Arabidopsis thaliana: one gene and its partner. Changing the gene in region 2 together with the main gene of any one other region gives a genetic interaction. Each region holds a gene or a part of one and is shown on either strand. Other genes may lie near its edges.

Region 1 (8,634 bases), on a different chromosome or scaffold from region 2:
CATAATATCAAAAGATAAGTTATGTTTCAGAACAAGAAGAAACTGCTTAATACAAAATGTACCTTTCCAAAAGCAAGCCTGTATCTTCTCAGTTGATAAACCTGAGAAAAATAGAGCTCAAGTGGTTAGAACAACTTTCTTTTATATAAACAATCGCATCACAATCCAATAAAGAAAATCTTATACCTTTGAATATCGTAGGAACAGAGGTACCAAAATAGACCGTTCTTCGAGGTAATTCCCATATCAATTCCCTTGGGACATTGATTGGGTTTAGGCTGGATGCATGATCCGCAAACACCTGTATCAATAGAATACATCACAAGTTTCAATGCAAATAATTAAAATGAAAGAGTTGGAGTTATTGGAGTTCAAGTCTTACCTCATTTACTTGAAAGTACGTTCCATTTAGAGGAAAACTACCCCTCATCGCTGTTCTACAAGGAATCTGTACAATTTACAACATATTAATCTGTAGAAAACATAAGTGTAGTAAGCCGCATAAGGAGATTGATGCAACTACTTACCAAAATTGTCCCTCTCACAATTTGAGATCTAGTCTCCTTGATGCTGTTGCAGGAGAAACAAGTCTCCTCGTCACAAAGCATACCATTTGCTTGGAATATGCACGTACTAACAGACGGTTGAATAGAATCAGCCGTCTCACCTGTTGAATAACACATCGATTAAAGATACCGATTTGATTTCATGATTAAAAGATATGCAAATCATTAAATTACCTGGCGTCCATATAGCAAGCAAATAAGAACATGGATCATCAGGTTCTCTCTTTTCCAACTGCCACAAGAAATCACAAACAGCTAGTCAGATTTTACAATATAGACAGCACTCTATACGGCATGTGTCCTTATCCAGTTAGCTCACATACCTGAGCTAGAAGAGGATGCTCGTCTGGAAGTTCGTAACTGCAAGATACGGGAAAAGAAACAAGTTATGGCATAGCCTGTAATTATTGGGAAGTTTGTCTGCTTTCCAACTTACGAGTTCATGCTTGGTCAATCACTTAAATATTCTACTCTGTTCAAGCTTTAATAATTTTGAAAAATGTGTTTCTGATTTCATTTTTAACCTAAGAACGAAGAAAAACAGAGAAAAATGGATTCTTACACTCGGTGTTCTGTCCTTAACTGGCTGATATTCTTGAGCTTAGGCATTGGAAGAGAAGCAGTTTCAGCAGTAAGTGCAACTAAAGCGCTGGACATGTTTCCGTCTTGAAGTTCCTTGTTGTGTTCCATTATCTTCTTCAAGTTACTGGTAAATGCATCCATGTTTAGCCTGATGGTAGGAATTTCTTCTGGATCCTCAAAAAACGCCTCCTCTATGTCAGCTATTGATACTTCTGCGGTTTCTGGCTCCGGTGAAGCAGGCTCTTCGATGATTGGTTCACAACATGTGACCTTTTTTGCTGGTTCTGAGTGCTGTACTACTTCAGACCCTTGCTCTCTCTGGAATGGCTCTGGCAGGTGTAGAGGCAAAGGGTTTTTATCAGGTGTCCCCATACCTTTCTCTGTACTTGGTAAAGCAAGCCTTGCACTGTAAAACAAATGAATGTTACTAAATTTTCTGTAATGATGATTCAGAGCTTCGTTTAGATACAGACCAATTCTCATTTAACTGGGTTATATTTTAACAAGGACTTTCCTCATAGAGTCATAGTGGTACTAAAGGTTTAAGAGAACATGTTGTAGCACCTTGCAAACGCACTGGCAAAATGTCTGCATTCTCCTTTCATCGGACATGCATTGCAATTAGGTTTGCTCTTTGTGCAAAAGACCTGATACAATAATCAAGCAGATTACAAACCTCATCATGTGAGCTGATTTTGACATACGTATATATGTATTTCTTTAATACATACCTTTCCAAAAGTAATCATCTGGTAGTGCAACTCATACCTGTGAGATAATAGGGTATTAAACTAATGAATAAGTGTATTAGACTGAGGCATGAAAAAAAAAAAGTTAGTGATAAACATCATTCTTACAATGTTTTTTGGTCGAGTTTGCAGAGACGGGGCCAAAGATACTTTTGAATAGATTCAAGCATAGGATACCTAGACAAACCAAACCTCAGATGTATTAAGTAACAAATTACAATTTCCAAGTAGGACCATTTTGAAAAGTGCTTACATTTCCAGAAGATGCAACTGAAGTGACTCTGGGAGCGGCTGAAGGGGCACCCATCCAAGTCTGACGGCTATGCGCCCAACATTTGTATCAACCTGTCAATAAATTAAGTTCATGCATCATATAATTCACTTTTTATAGGGACAGAAACAAAAGTTTGATCCTTGCTTACTGGAAAGGCAAGATGGTGAAGTGTTAGAAGCCGCACACACTCCACACTTTTCAGTCCCAATCCGTTAAAGCTCAGAAGATATTCTCTGCAGGGTTTTGTAATATACGAGAGTACATAATTCATTATTAAGTCACTAAAACTGCCAAAGTAGTAATCTTTGTATAGGTTAATAAAGAAGAAATAAAATGCTTCGTCTTTCAAACTTACTTTGCTTTATCTGGTGGAACATCTCTCAACCATTCAAGATCGATACTTCCATGGTCATTTACCAGTCGATCAAGGAAGCCCTGCATGATTTTCATGTTCAGAGTCAAATACTTAAAATGAATGTTATCACGAAATTTAGCCACTAAATTTTTACCTGTATACGTTCTGCAAGTTTATGGTTCATCCCGCGACTCTTGATTGTTTCAGCAACTTCCTTAACATCTGCTGCTCGTATTGCCTTCCAATCCACGGTGTCCATTGTACTTCTTGTTTTTTCTCTAATTCCTGCTCTAGCTTGGGCTTCTCTTCTTAAACAATCCCAGTCAAACGCTTTTTTTTCCTCCTTCAAAACCTTTTTCCCTTTTTCTTTTAAGGTAGGTTTCTGACAACTCAAAACATCCCCATCTTGCTGAGAGCAACAACCAGGTTCACTACTATCAACAGAGGATTTTGTGGGCTCTTTCATTGACTGGAAACCCTTAATTTCTGAGCTACAATCACCCGGAGACATATTTGGTGATACTTGATTGGAATCTTCTAGAGAGACTTGTACCCCCTGTAGGAGCTTCATAAAGGAAGTACGATACTCTCCTTCTAAGTCGATCTCTGAGCTTGATCCTGCTCTCTCTGTATTTTGAGGAGCATCAGACACCATCGAATGTTGACATGTAAGTGCAGAATCTTCAGATGGAAACAGGTTCAGGACACGACACTTCTCATCCGTCTTATCAACCTCTACACTTGAGCCTTTTCGATCTGAATCAACATACTCCTTTGAATCCGTGGTTTTGTCAACTGATTCATGGGCTGAGATGGCAATCTCACTACTGCTTCTGGAGGTTTCATTGCTAGGTACATAATCCTTCTCCTCATCAGGCTGTGTATTTTTCAAAGTAACAGAACTGTGATTGTGATCGGGTGGGCTTGACATCGTTTCCTCTGAGTCCAAGTACGTTATTTGAATAGAAGGCATCGAGCTTGTTCCAGCGTCAAAGTTACTGCTCGGTACAAAAGGGACAGGGAACTGGGAAGCCAACGACATGAAAGCCGAACTACAAGGAGTAAAAAACATCAAAGCAAGTTAGTTTTGTGACTTTTTGCTGTCTTGGATTTAGTTTGACATAGAATTATGTAAGAGCTTGTACCTTGAGAGATGGTCTGAAACATTTTGAGTGAGAAATACTCCAACAACAGAATCCACGACGGATCCCTTCCAAGGCGTAAAACGTCGATCCCCTGTTAGAAACCAAAGACCATAACAAGAAGCAGTAGCTGAGACATACTAATTGAAACCATGTGGTTAGAACAGAAACACATAAAAGGACAAGTGTGGTGTATAACCTTGTACAAGGTGCATCCTTGCAATAAATGAGTCAGCTCGTCCTCGAAACACATTACGTTCTTCCTCCCACCATTTCGCCTTCTGCTCGTCTGATCCGTCAACACCTTCGCTATTAATATTCTCCAATAGCAGTTTCCACACTCTGTCTGTCTCATCGTCTAGATCAACCTTTGGTCGTGGGCGTGGTTTTTTAACAGGAGTTACAGGCACAATTGCTCCAGCGCCACCACCAAAGAGTACAATCTGGCTATTCATTGTGTAAGGAACGAGAGCAGTTTCAGAATGCTCCCTGTTGATGTCTAATAGACGCAATAGCTCACTGATTGTTTCGATCGAGTTACGTCGTTTCCAAAGTTCATCTGGAGAAAGACCTGCAGGAATCAAACATCATCATTATCAAGAAATAGTCTGCATTTAACAGATTCAAAAAAACAAAGAAATATAGTTCTGTATCTATTCATTACCAGTAAATGAAGGTGGAAAACGGCAAAGATTCGGAAGAAGATTTTTCTGTTTGGTTTGTGATTTCTCAGACTTGGTTGGCTTCTTTTTGCTCACAGTCACCCGCGTATCAACAAGAATCTTATTATTTTGCTGTGGCTTGCTACAATATCCTGAGGTTAAATGCTCAGGAACTTCCACAAGTTTATTCATTGAAGACAAATTCCGGAATCGAGCATGGCCTGTTGTTTTCTTCTTGATCGGCGTGTCTATCTTATCCGAGAGAACATTTAGCTCAGACTCTTGCCTTCCTTGAAAGATACCTTCTCGTCTTTCTTCAACGGTTAGGACTCTATTAGCACTGAGCTGAGATGTGGAACTGTAGCACGTAGCGTGAAAGGCAGAAACATAATTGTGCTGTTGTCCAGAGAATACTTTGCTGCAAATGGCATCATATCTCATCCCTCCCTGTTGCAAGTTTGGGGAATACAACCAATGCATTTTCTGGTAGTCACATTGCTCATCATACTGAATCCCTGATAGATTCATGTCGCAACAAGTTGGTCCTTGTCTTCTCTTTGCAGCTTGCGCCATCGAAATATCGACTTCTTCTAGATTACTGCCATTTTTCTTTGGTTGAACTCCCTTTCTTTTACCTTGGCTGCGCTTTCTCTTGGGCGTGCTAGGAGCCGAAAGAAGGCAATCTTTTAACTCTTGATTCCCAGAATCTAACTGCTTCTCTTGAAGAGCTGATTCCATCTCACCTGCTTCTCTAATGTCACCGTTGGTCTGGTTTTCTCCATTTTCGGCTTCAAAATCCAAGACTCGTCTACAGAGCCTCTTAGGACGAGTTGAAGTTTCAACAGCTGCTGATGATTCAACCGGAGTAGCGTCTTGATCCTTACTGACTTCAACCTTCTTCCGCACATATTTCCTCTTTGGTGTTTTGCTTTCTTGACCATCGGTGACAACAGACTTCCTCGGAGCTCGTGGTTTAGGCTCCCTCTTGGGTTTAGCTTCTCTACGAACCTTTGGCCGATGCTTCTTCCTCTTAGGTTTTTCAGGAGTCTTGAGGATCTGTTCAGCAACATTGTTACTCACTGAGCTCAAACTCTCCACTTCTTCAGTACCTTTTTGCATAACCTCTGTGTTTCCTACATTGAGAATCACATCTTTCTCAGTCCAACTCAAACAGAATCAAAATTTGACAAAGCGATTTCATTTCTCATGAGACCAGAATCAAAATCCCCTCTTACTTGTAGGTATTGGAGTCTGACCAGAGAATATGAGGGATGCAGTGTTAGCTAGAGCAAGCAAATCCCCAAAAGACAAGTGATCAAGACCACTCATATCCTTGTTCCCAACAAATCTCCTGCATGCATCAATACCTTACTTAACCAATTACCCATCACTACTCTTTGAAATTTCTCAACTTTAGAACAAAAAAGCACAAACCTTTCCTCCAATTGACTGCTATGATATTGATCCTCCACCGTGTATGGGCAGATCGGTGAAAATGGCTTCATGGGTGTCTGAGGAATCCATGGAGGTTGTTGAAAGCTGCTTTCTTCTCTCCTCTGTTTCTCCATTTCTGACTCTATTTTTACTTTTCTTCACTCTTACTTAAATCAGAACCATTTGAGAAAAAGCTTGGAACTTTCTATTTTTTCCACTGCAAAAAGTTCAATAATTTCTTCAATAAAAGAGATCACCAATTTTTTTTAAAAATCACGATTTTATAAAATGATCAGATCCACTTTTTTCTGGGGTTTTAGAGAAAGAGAGATCTCCGGAAGTCATTGATTTTGGGTGAGTGGCGACATGAACGATTAATCCGTTCGTTAGGTGAAAGAGAGACTTTTTAGATTCACAACAAAATGTAAAAAAAAGTAAGAAAAAAACAAAATTCATTACCAGTAGAATCAATGGTTATGGTGGTGATGGAGAGAGTTAGTTCGGTGGTAGCTATGAGAGGATAAGATCACTGATGCTTCGTTTCTTCTCTTGGAATCGATGAAGTTAAAGAGTAATATAGAAAAAGCTTTTTTGGCCTAACGTATAAAGAAGAGGATATAACATGTGTTGTTGTGTGTTTCACTATTTTTCATAACCGTTTGTTTATGTAGGGCGAAAGTTCGTTTGGTTGGCGGGAAAAGTTTTACGGAATTTTATTTTAAAAATAATGATTCTTTTCTACAAAATCTCCTAGACTATGGGAAAGATGATTTAAAAAGTTAATAATATTGTCGTTGTTATCGTCATCGTCATCATCGTCTTTTCTGTTATCTTTTTCTCTTTAAAATTTCGTATTTTTTCTCGTTTACGTAACTATTTAAAATTATATGAACTAACTAATTTTATAATTAATAGAAATTATAAAATAATCTTAATTTTGCTTTAGATATAAAATAATTAGAACTTTATTTATAAATTTATCATCAAATTATGATTTAAACAAATAACATGTTATGTAATCCACGTTTATAATTTTGATCAATAATATATTATTTTGCTAATTTTTACGTAATCTCATAAATTTACACGTTTTCGTTTACATATGCAGAAGTTAAATGATTCGTTTTAGAATTATTATTTTCCACTGATATGGGAGCTAGTGTAGTAGAGTGATTATTAGGCTAGTTGCCCAACGAGTCTTTCGTTTTTGATCATTCCAAATGTTTTAGTCTAGTACGATAGGAGTCAAAATACTGCACCATATGTGTGAAACTGTGAATGTGTGTGAAAAAAAGAGTAATTAGTGTGCTAACCTTTGATTTCCTGTCATGCAAGAAACCTTCAAAGAGACGTACATGAGAAATGAGTATTGTAAATCATTTATTTCATGGACTTGGTTGGAATCTTAGTGAATCGTTGTTGTCAATCTTAACAACTTGTTGGATTGGTTATGAGCCTATGACTTATGACTTATGAGTGAGTCAATGGTGGTCATAACCTAATGATTGGGTTATGAGCAAAGAAATTTGGAATTTGTAAAAAAAAAAAAAAAAATCAAGAGCTTTTTTGTGTGGACATATCTATCCTAGAAACTGAGACGAATAATAGTGGATAAAAAGTTGGGAACGGATTATTCGAATGTTTAAAACTATTATTGAAAACAATACAACTAAATATGGTACAAAAGTAAACGAATTCGTATAGCTAAACCTAATTCAAATTACGAAGCTAATCCATACTTGGATCCTAAACGCTTTTACTTTTACTTACGGTTTCTTTTTCAAAAAAGTTTTTACAAATTTGGGTTTGTCTTATGAAGATTATGGCAGAAGAGACTGATCAAAAGTGAATGCCTAATTCGGTTTAATCCATTCAAGTTTATCTTAAACAATGAAACTGACCATGAAAGTGAATTCAAAGACCAAATCAAAGAAAAATTAAACTGATTTAGTTGTAATATTGGTATTGAATTAAACTATAAATAGAAATAACCAAACATATAACCACAAAAGAAGACTATTTATATAAATATATGAGTTGGAAGTCATTTTTGGACTATTATATAAGATCTAATTATCACACGACGTGTGGATGTATGGTTAGCAGAGTTGTGTTCAGAGAGTTCGATAAAGCCATCACTCCAAACATACAAAATATCCATACATTGATCCACCAATATAACCGGCTGTGTGCCAAGCAAAGTGAAGCTTAGGCCTAACTAGGGTTCTCAAAAGTTCAAAATATAAAAAATATTTTGGCGTCGACCTTAAAGTCCTTGCTTCATCGACTATAGTCTAAAGCCGGCATGCCTAAAAACCTCATATAAATCGTCGCTTGTTACTCGATCATACTCTGTAACTATAAATATCCTGATCTTAATTATAACTTGAAATACTACTAATCTACGAATCTATCATGTAACCTGTTTACTAGTTTTTATTTAATATAATCAAGGAGATAGGTCACTTGAAAACAAAGACGCCACGCTTGTATCTCAATCCATACTTCTATTTTTTGTCTTATGATATGGTATCATTCACGTAGTTTATATATTAAAAAAAAAAAAATATCATTCCCATAGTTCTTAGTTCTTTGTTTTATTCATAATTTTATAATATTGGCCTTCCCAAAAATTTGGGTAAGGTCTTGGACATTACAAAGATCCAACATATACAAAAATAAATAATCAAAAAAATCTTTGTATGACTGGAGATAATGATCGGATCTTGCTGAAGACCGGAAACAGAGAATCAGAGCAATAGTACCAGCGGATACAAGACCCACGACTTCGCTGATTTGTTTTCTCATAACATGTTTGTGATTATTTTCTGATTTAAGCGTCGAAAGATTTTTTTATCCCATAAGGTCAA
Region 2 (7,151 bases):
TGATATTATCGAGTTCTTCAATTCAGGTTTAAACAAATTGGCCCGAAATGATAACTTGGATCTCTCGCCACCAGAGTTGAAAGAGATGATACAAGGTTGGAATCAGATTGTGTATCCTAAAGTTAACAATGGCGTTTACAGGTAAATTGGAAAACATCATTACAATGTTTATAGAATGTTACAATGGCGTTTACAAGTAAGCGGGATATCAAAAAAGCTATAGGAATGGAGTGAATTGTTCCAAATTTGATGCGGGTTTAGCTCATAGCTTGTGTTCTTAATGCTGCAATGTGTGTTTGATGCTAAAGTTGATGACTTTGTTGTGTGGTAATTTGCTTGCGATATTTTTTGAAAGGTGTGGGTTTGCGCAGAGCCAAGAAGTGTATGATGGAGCTGTAAAATGAACTCTTTAGTATTAAAAGCTATAGAAAGCAACTGAATTGTTCACATTTGATGCGGTTTTTGCGTAGCTTGTGTTCTTGATGCTGCAATGTGTGTTTGTTGCTAAAGTTGATGGCTTTGTTTGTTGTGTCATGTGTGGTGATTTTTGAAAGGTGCGGGTTTGCGCAGAGCCAAGAAGCGTATGATGGAGCAGTGAATGAACTCTTTAGTACCTTAGATGAGATTGAGGATCACTTGGGTAGTAATAGATACTTGTGTGGAGAAAGGTTGACATTGGCTGATGTATGTCTGTTCACAACTCTGATTCGTTTTGATTCGGTTTACAACATTCTATTCAAATGCACCAAGAAGAAGCTTGTTGAATACCCAAATCTCTATGGCTATTTGCGCGAGATTTACCAGGTTCCTCTTCTTACTGGCTTCTCTCTGAGACATAAATTCTGCATCTGGGAGTGTGTTTCAAATTATGTGTTTGTTGTTGTTGTTGAAACAGATTCCTGGTGTTGCGGCTACTTGTGATATTTCGGCTATAATGGATGGCTACTACAAGACGCTGTTTCCGCTAAACGCTAGTGGAATTCAACCGGCCATTTCTTCATCTGGCGATCAAGATTCTCTCTGGAGACCTCATAACCGAGACTTGGTAGGTAAAGCCATTGAAGCACAGCTTTCGGTTTAAGCGTAGAAAACTGTACATAACTCAATGATAGGATTATCCAACAGCACTCAAAAGTATCATACAATGTAATAAGCTTTGATCTTGTACTATTATCATTCCTCATATATATAGAGAGAGAGAAGCCTTCCACAAGTGATTCTCATGGGAGTTCTTCTTAAGGTGAAATCACTTTCAAGACTTCACTTCGATACTACGATTTATATAAATAGAGAGATCTTTCAATATAAGTCATAACCAAAAGCCATAGCCGTTAGAACCAAAATTAAGATATTCACACGAGTTTTTGATATCACAAAAGTGAATCAGTTTCTAAGGATTATAGTTTCATCCTGATAGCTACCTACCTATTTTATGGACCGCGACTTTGCTTATATGCATTGTCGGAATTTTTTACAAAAAGCGTTTTTCGATTGGAATTTTTTTGCCAATTCATTCACAACAAAAAGGAGTTTGCGCCCACCACATATCTTCAAAACCTACCAATGTAAAGCTCTCTCTCATGCTCGCTTCTTCACATTCTTGCCTTCTGCAGCATCAACAAATTGCGTGTTAGTTGCAAAATAGTGAAGGGCTCATGTTTCAAAACCGAGATAACAGTCAAATATAGGAAAAGGATTATCAAATAGAAATCGTGTGATGATTACTCACTGCTAATCTGCTTCCTGACTCGGCAGAAGTCGCTACCACATTGACAATGGAACGGACTCGTGGGAAACACATCTTGGTTGAATGGGACACCATAATCCTGCAGGTCAAGTCCAAAACTTCTCAAACAGAACCACAAAGAAAACAGGACTTGAACCCGAACTAGTGAAAATTTCTAAAAGAAACAAATCTGTTAAGAGTGGGTGGAGAAACTTCTAACACACCCAGGTAAGTTCCTCCATAGCATCGATCTCTCTTGTTGTGAAGAATGCAAGCTGGAAAAAAATACAGATTAGCTAATCGGTCTATTGTTTCCACATAACAGATGAGTCTTCTATAAGCAAATGATTAGAAATGAAACAAGGAACTGTGTCATACATGATAGTAGTGTGAATCAGTAGTCTCCGCATGAACTGGGATCTCAATCAAATTTGCATCTAAGCATCTGCACATATAGACATAGTACAGTTAGAAGTAATGAATTGAGAGTGAAACCAACTATATAAGTTTCCCAAATGAGTTCTAAATCTAGGCTAGTCATATGAAACTTTATAACAAACTCATTTTCAGTGTCCCTTTACCTGTGATTGATGAACCTGGAAATATTTCCATAGTGCGTTCCTTCAAGAGAAAGTGCTTTGTCATCCCCTGAAATGTCTTCAGAACCCCAGTACGCATCCAATATTACTGGAGAAGTAGGCCTGTCAGAGATGCGTTGGAACAACTCTGGAATGGTCAATATCTCTCCAGCAAGCTCACAGACAAATGCTCCTTTAGGCAGTTTTTCTAGAGTTCTGAGTCCCCAGCCTCTCCCATTGGGCGTGAAAAACACCTGATTCAAAAAAAAAAAAAAAAAGGAACATAAACAAAATTCAGGCATCAGAATCTCTCCACTGGTTAAGTCCAAGTTAAAATGATCATAATCAGTTTCAATTCTATCAGAACTGAGATGGGTTTAGATTATCAAATCCTGGACTACTTGGCTAAAAAGGTTGGTAAGTTGAATGTACCTGCAGCTTGTTGTGAATGCCCTGTTGGACAACTCGGTTGCCACAATTCTTCATGCAGCCACACTTGCTCCAACATTCTTTAATGGCCTTTCTCTTTAGATGCCCTTTGCACGGTTCCAGGATTACTTCTTTTTTGGCTTTCTCTAAAGGACATTCTTTGCAATACAGTAACATTTGTTTCCGCGGATCACGGGCCTCAGAGATACACTGTTCCAGAAAATCTTCCTGTAGGAGGCCATCTACTGTGTATGCAAAGCCATTAAAAGCAGTTGCACATCTGCATGCCATTGACGGAGCCAAGCAATCTCCACAGCAAGAGGAGCAGCATTGGTCATCCCTGATATTCCCAAGCGAAAACTTCACTGCAGCATCTTGATACACAAGACTTTGGGCTATGTAATGGAAAACTGGAGGAACTTTGTCGTTGACCTCATTCACCCAGGGAATCTCAACAGTTTCTTTCCCTAGACTGATGTCCCCGACGCTGCTTATCAATCTCCACTCATCTGCAGAAAGTTGGCATTCAGGAACAACTACCAAAGCCATGGAATCACCAACTGCACCGTTTTCAGCATCACGCATATGTTCGTTGCTGCAGATTTCAACAACATCATTACTGGCCTGAGAAGTATAAGCCATCCTTGCTGCAGATTTCTTCAATGCATCAATGTTCGTTGTGACAAACGGCAAGTTTTTTGGCAATTGGTTAGCTGAATCTCTCCCGTTTGTTGCCAGGTCCAGGTAGCAGCTACAGATGTCGTTCATAAAACCAAGCACAGAAAAGTTGGGGTCCAGTATTTTGTATGATCGGAGACACTTCTCCTCCATTGCTCTTCGTAGTTCCTCCATAGAAGGTAAATGGGGATTTGATCCTCCAGTTGCAGGAGCAAAACTAAGATTAATCTTCACCTCGCCTGAAGCAGAAGAAGCTAATTCAAGTGCTGGAGGTTCTTCTATGGTTGCAGCTAGCTTGTGATCACTAAATCTCGCAACAGTTGTAGGAGAAATGTCATTGGTAGTACCATCAGCAGTACTTACTGTTTCACCAGCCTTCTCTTCCACATGTCCATTTGATTTGTCTATCTCAAGCATGGAAGAGTCCCCTCTATCTACTGAATCTACAGAAAACGTACAAGACACATTAGTTTTGGAGAAAGTAGCTTCAACAATCATAACAACAAAATGAGCAATGCAAATAAGATTTAGTTACTCCTATTTACAAAAAAGTACCAGGAATAGAACTGAGAGGCATATTTGTAATGGGCTCGACTTTTGTAAGAATGAGCTCACCAGCATCATGGTCATTTTCAATTGGTACAGGATGATATGGCAATAGGATCGGAGCATTTTCTTCGTCATTAATTGAAGGTCCCTCTAAAGTCGGACTGCCCAAGCTAGGGCTTGCCAAAGCAGAGCCTCCTTCACCTCTGCGTCGCAGCCTCTTTAAAGGGCGATCAGACTCAGCCATAACATCTTCGTCATCCTCGATAGACTGATATTACACAACAGAAACTGAATAAACAAGAACATGAAGACACATTACTCTAACACAGCAAAGATATTCAGTTTGCCATACTTCATGGAGCTTTTTCTTTCCTCTGTCAACTTCTGCGGCCTGAAAGATTGGATCAACAACAAAGTGAAGCATGGATAATAAAGCAACATTGAACTAATAAATGGAAGATTGTTTGGAAAAAACATACACAGCCTTCATCCTCTTTAACTTCGTCTGCCTTCTTTTCTTCGCTTTCTTGAATAGCCTTTATATAAGTAAATCAATATGGAATGTCAAGGTAATAACAAAGACAATGATTACAACAGATTTACAAAAAAAAAAACAGTAGATCAAAGAGAGAACAAAGAAAGATACCTGATCTTCATGGCTATCGAAGATAGCATCAGCAAGAACCCTGTAATTGTCTTCAGCAATTAACTCCCAGTTTTTCTCGTAAAGGGCGAGAAGGTTTTTCAAGACCGGCTTCACTCGCGCATCCTCTATTCCCATAGCCCTCATAGCCATAAATGCTTTCTTGATATGCAGATTAGGTGCCATCGTTTCTGCACCAACAAAACTAAAACTGATTGTGGGATTGCTTTCGTGAAACAAGTTGTAACTTCTCATTTGCCTCGTCCTATCAAAATGCGGAAGAAACAAGATGTGAAGAGCCGTTCAGTAAGGAAATAAATGTGGCCAGAACTCAAAACATTACAACAATAAGCAAAGACAGACCTAAAGCAAATCAACAACAAACCAAGACTACAGACATCTACCTAGCAGCAAAGACTAACCACAAGTAGCAGAAAAGACTCAGAAATTGAATATCCTAAGAAAGTTGAAACCTTTCCTCTTAAGAAAACACAATCGCACAAAGAAACTCTAACAAAACGTTGTTTTTTCTCTTCCAGAGAGCTAATAGCGTTTTCAGATGACGATGAGACTCAAAAAGGAGAAGACTTTCGTCGGAAATTAGAAGAACTTACTAAGTACAGAGACGAGAGGGTTAGGGTTTAAAGCGAGCTCGGTACAGAGAAAGGATTCCACGATTTTGACTTACTTAGTGAAGAATCTTGGCCGTAATAAGCAAATGACAACGGCGTAGAGACAATGTCGGTGACGACGGCAGAGTATTACGTCGGCGCGTGAGAGTACACGCGAGGACAGTGCCAGGTGAAATTTCGTTTCTTTCTCAGTATCTTGTTCGACTGTGACTTTTTGTTGACCCTCTCTCTTTCTTCTTCTTCTCTGCTTAATGGGCCGGGCTTAATTGGGTCGGGTCAAACTCAATAAATAAGCGAATCTTATTGACCTCTTAAGATTTGTTTTTGATCTTACTACTATCATGTGTATGTAACTATGTATGTCTCAAATTCTCCGGTATTTAAATCCAATGCAGGCAGTTCTGGTAACCTTATTTTATAAAAATTATTCACTAATATTGTATAGGGAATCTATACTTAATTAAGAGTTTCACATATCTTTTACAGTATACAGTATTAGTTCTTTCCTTTTGTAGTCTTTAACTCTTAATGATTTTGAAACATTGGGGAACACCTCTACTTCTCCGAGCAATCTTTTTTTTTTTTTTTTGGGCAAATGCTTGTTTTCATTCATCTACAAGAGAAAACAAGTACAAAGGTAGAAGGATTCTAAGATCACAAAGTTTTAACATACAACAAAGATAGGCATTCCCCAATACCATAAAAGGTAAGCAAAAGCATAGGTAAAATACATCAACAAAGGTTCCAAGAGAGCTATAATCCAAACACACAAAGGCAATTTGGTTCTTGTGAGATCAAGGGTTGTTGACAAATCTTCCACACTCACCAACTCAAAATATATCATATAGAATGTGAAATCCAAAATCCTGCAAAAACAATCATGCTTATCATTAACTCAAAATAATCATAGTGATAATATCTTTTGTAGTTTACAAAAACACACAGGTTTATTATTATTTACTCCAGTTACTACGCAATTATGTTCTGAAATTATGTAAACTCAAAACGATCATGTTTTGTTTTGTTTTGGACACAAAATAAAATCGAATCAATCATTCACATTTACAACAAGGTCTAAGATTTTATTTTCCTTCTCGTATCAGCCTACAATTTAAATCAAACTCATCAAAATATATCTTAGTGCCTTAAACAAAAAATACATATACACAAAAGGTGTTTTTCCATCAATGTCCTAAAACAAAATCCAAATTCAGACAATAAAGTCAGATTTAATGGCATTAAAGGTTATTCACTAAATTCAACAACAAAAAAGAAGAAACAGTAATCATTTTTTTTTGATACTGTATTACATAATCTCCTAAACCAAATCTATATAATAAACACTTGTCGTCTCAAAGTTTCTTTCTTTTTTATCTTACCCTTGAAGCAAGATCCAAAGAAAAGTATACTCCTTTATTTTTCATGGTTTCATACTACAAAACCTGCTCTTATTTACATTTTTTTGTCTTTAAACCTCAAAACAAAAGACAAAAAAAAAACGGAAAACTTTCTTTTTTCCGGACACATAAAAACAACACAAACTTTATTAGACAGAAACAAACTAGTAAAAAGATTTTGAACATCAAGAAACAAAAATCTCTCTCTGTCTTTCTCAATTATGAAACTCACCTATCAATTCTTCATCTTCTGGTTCTTTTTACCATTCTTTGCAATCTCCGGTGATGATGATTATAAAAATCTGATCTTTAAAGGTTGTGCAAATCAGAAATCTCCAGACCCAACTGGTGTTTTCTCTCAGAATCTCAAAAACTTATTCACTTCTTTAGTTTCTCAATCATCACAAAGCTCTTTCGCTTCCGTAACCTCCGGAACTGATAACACCACCGCCGTGATCGGTGTTTTTCAGTGCCGTGGCGATCTCCAAAACGCTCAGTGTTACGATTGCGTCTCCAAAA

Evidence for each region.
Region 1: of SUVR2 (region 2) and DML1, changing one suppresses a phenotype caused by changing the other (phenotypic suppression), as found in Arabidopsis thaliana (one study listed by BioGRID).

The regions. Positions count from the first base shown.
Region 1 is NC_003071.7:15,308,375-15,317,008, forward strand, and holds the start of DML1 (demeter-like 1), read right to left. Parts: upstream 6,434-8,634; 5' UTR 6,224-6,433; intron 5,982-6,223; 5' UTR 5,899-5,981; coding exon 5,765-5,898; intron 5,682-5,764; coding exon 5,566-5,681; intron 5,464-5,565; coding exon 4,333-5,463; intron 4,240-4,332; coding exon 3,868-4,239; intron 3,763-3,867; coding exon 3,672-3,762; intron 3,579-3,671; coding exon 2,681-3,578; intron 2,607-2,680; coding exon 2,527-2,606; intron 2,405-2,526; coding exon 2,320-2,404; intron 2,243-2,319; coding exon 2,151-2,242; intron 2,075-2,150; coding exon 2,006-2,074; intron 1,917-2,005; coding exon 1,880-1,916; intron 1,796-1,879; coding exon 1,713-1,795; intron 1,555-1,712; coding exon 1,129-1,554; intron 927-1,128; coding exon 890-926; intron 799-889; coding exon 741-798; intron 668-740; coding exon 528-667; intron 449-527; coding exon 383-448; intron 302-382; coding exon 187-301; intron 102-186; and 2 more. UniProt on the Arabidopsis thaliana protein: Bifunctional DNA glycosylase/lyase, which excises 5-methylcytosine (5-meC) and 5-hydroxymethylcytosine (5-hmeC), leaving an apyrimidinic (AP) site that is subsequently incised by the lyase activity.
Region 2 is NC_003076.8:17,696,161-17,703,311, reverse strand, and holds SUVR2 (SET-domain containing protein lysine methyltransferase family protein), read right to left. Parts: upstream 5,471-7,151; 5' UTR 5,218-5,470; intron 4,869-5,217; 5' UTR 4,859-4,868; coding exon 4,607-4,858; intron 4,497-4,606; coding exon 4,440-4,496; exon of another isoform or gene 4,385-4,439; coding exon of another isoform or gene 4,352-4,384; coding exon 4,313-4,351; intron 4,229-4,312; coding exon 3,967-4,228; intron 3,855-3,966; coding exon 2,737-3,854; intron 2,559-2,736; coding exon 2,308-2,558; intron 2,172-2,307; coding exon 2,105-2,171; intron 2,002-2,104; coding exon 1,951-2,001; intron 1,827-1,950; coding exon 1,730-1,826; intron 1,608-1,729; coding exon 1,579-1,607; 3' UTR 1,276-1,578; downstream 1-1,275. Other genes in the region: AT5G44000 (Glutathione S-transferase family protein), read left to right, coding at 1-141, 555-804, 896-1,081; PDLP1 (plasmodesmata-located protein 1), read left to right, coding at 6,854-7,151. UniProt on the Arabidopsis thaliana protein: Probable inactive histone-lysine methyltransferase that acts as regulator of transctiptional gene silencing independently of histone H3K9 methylation.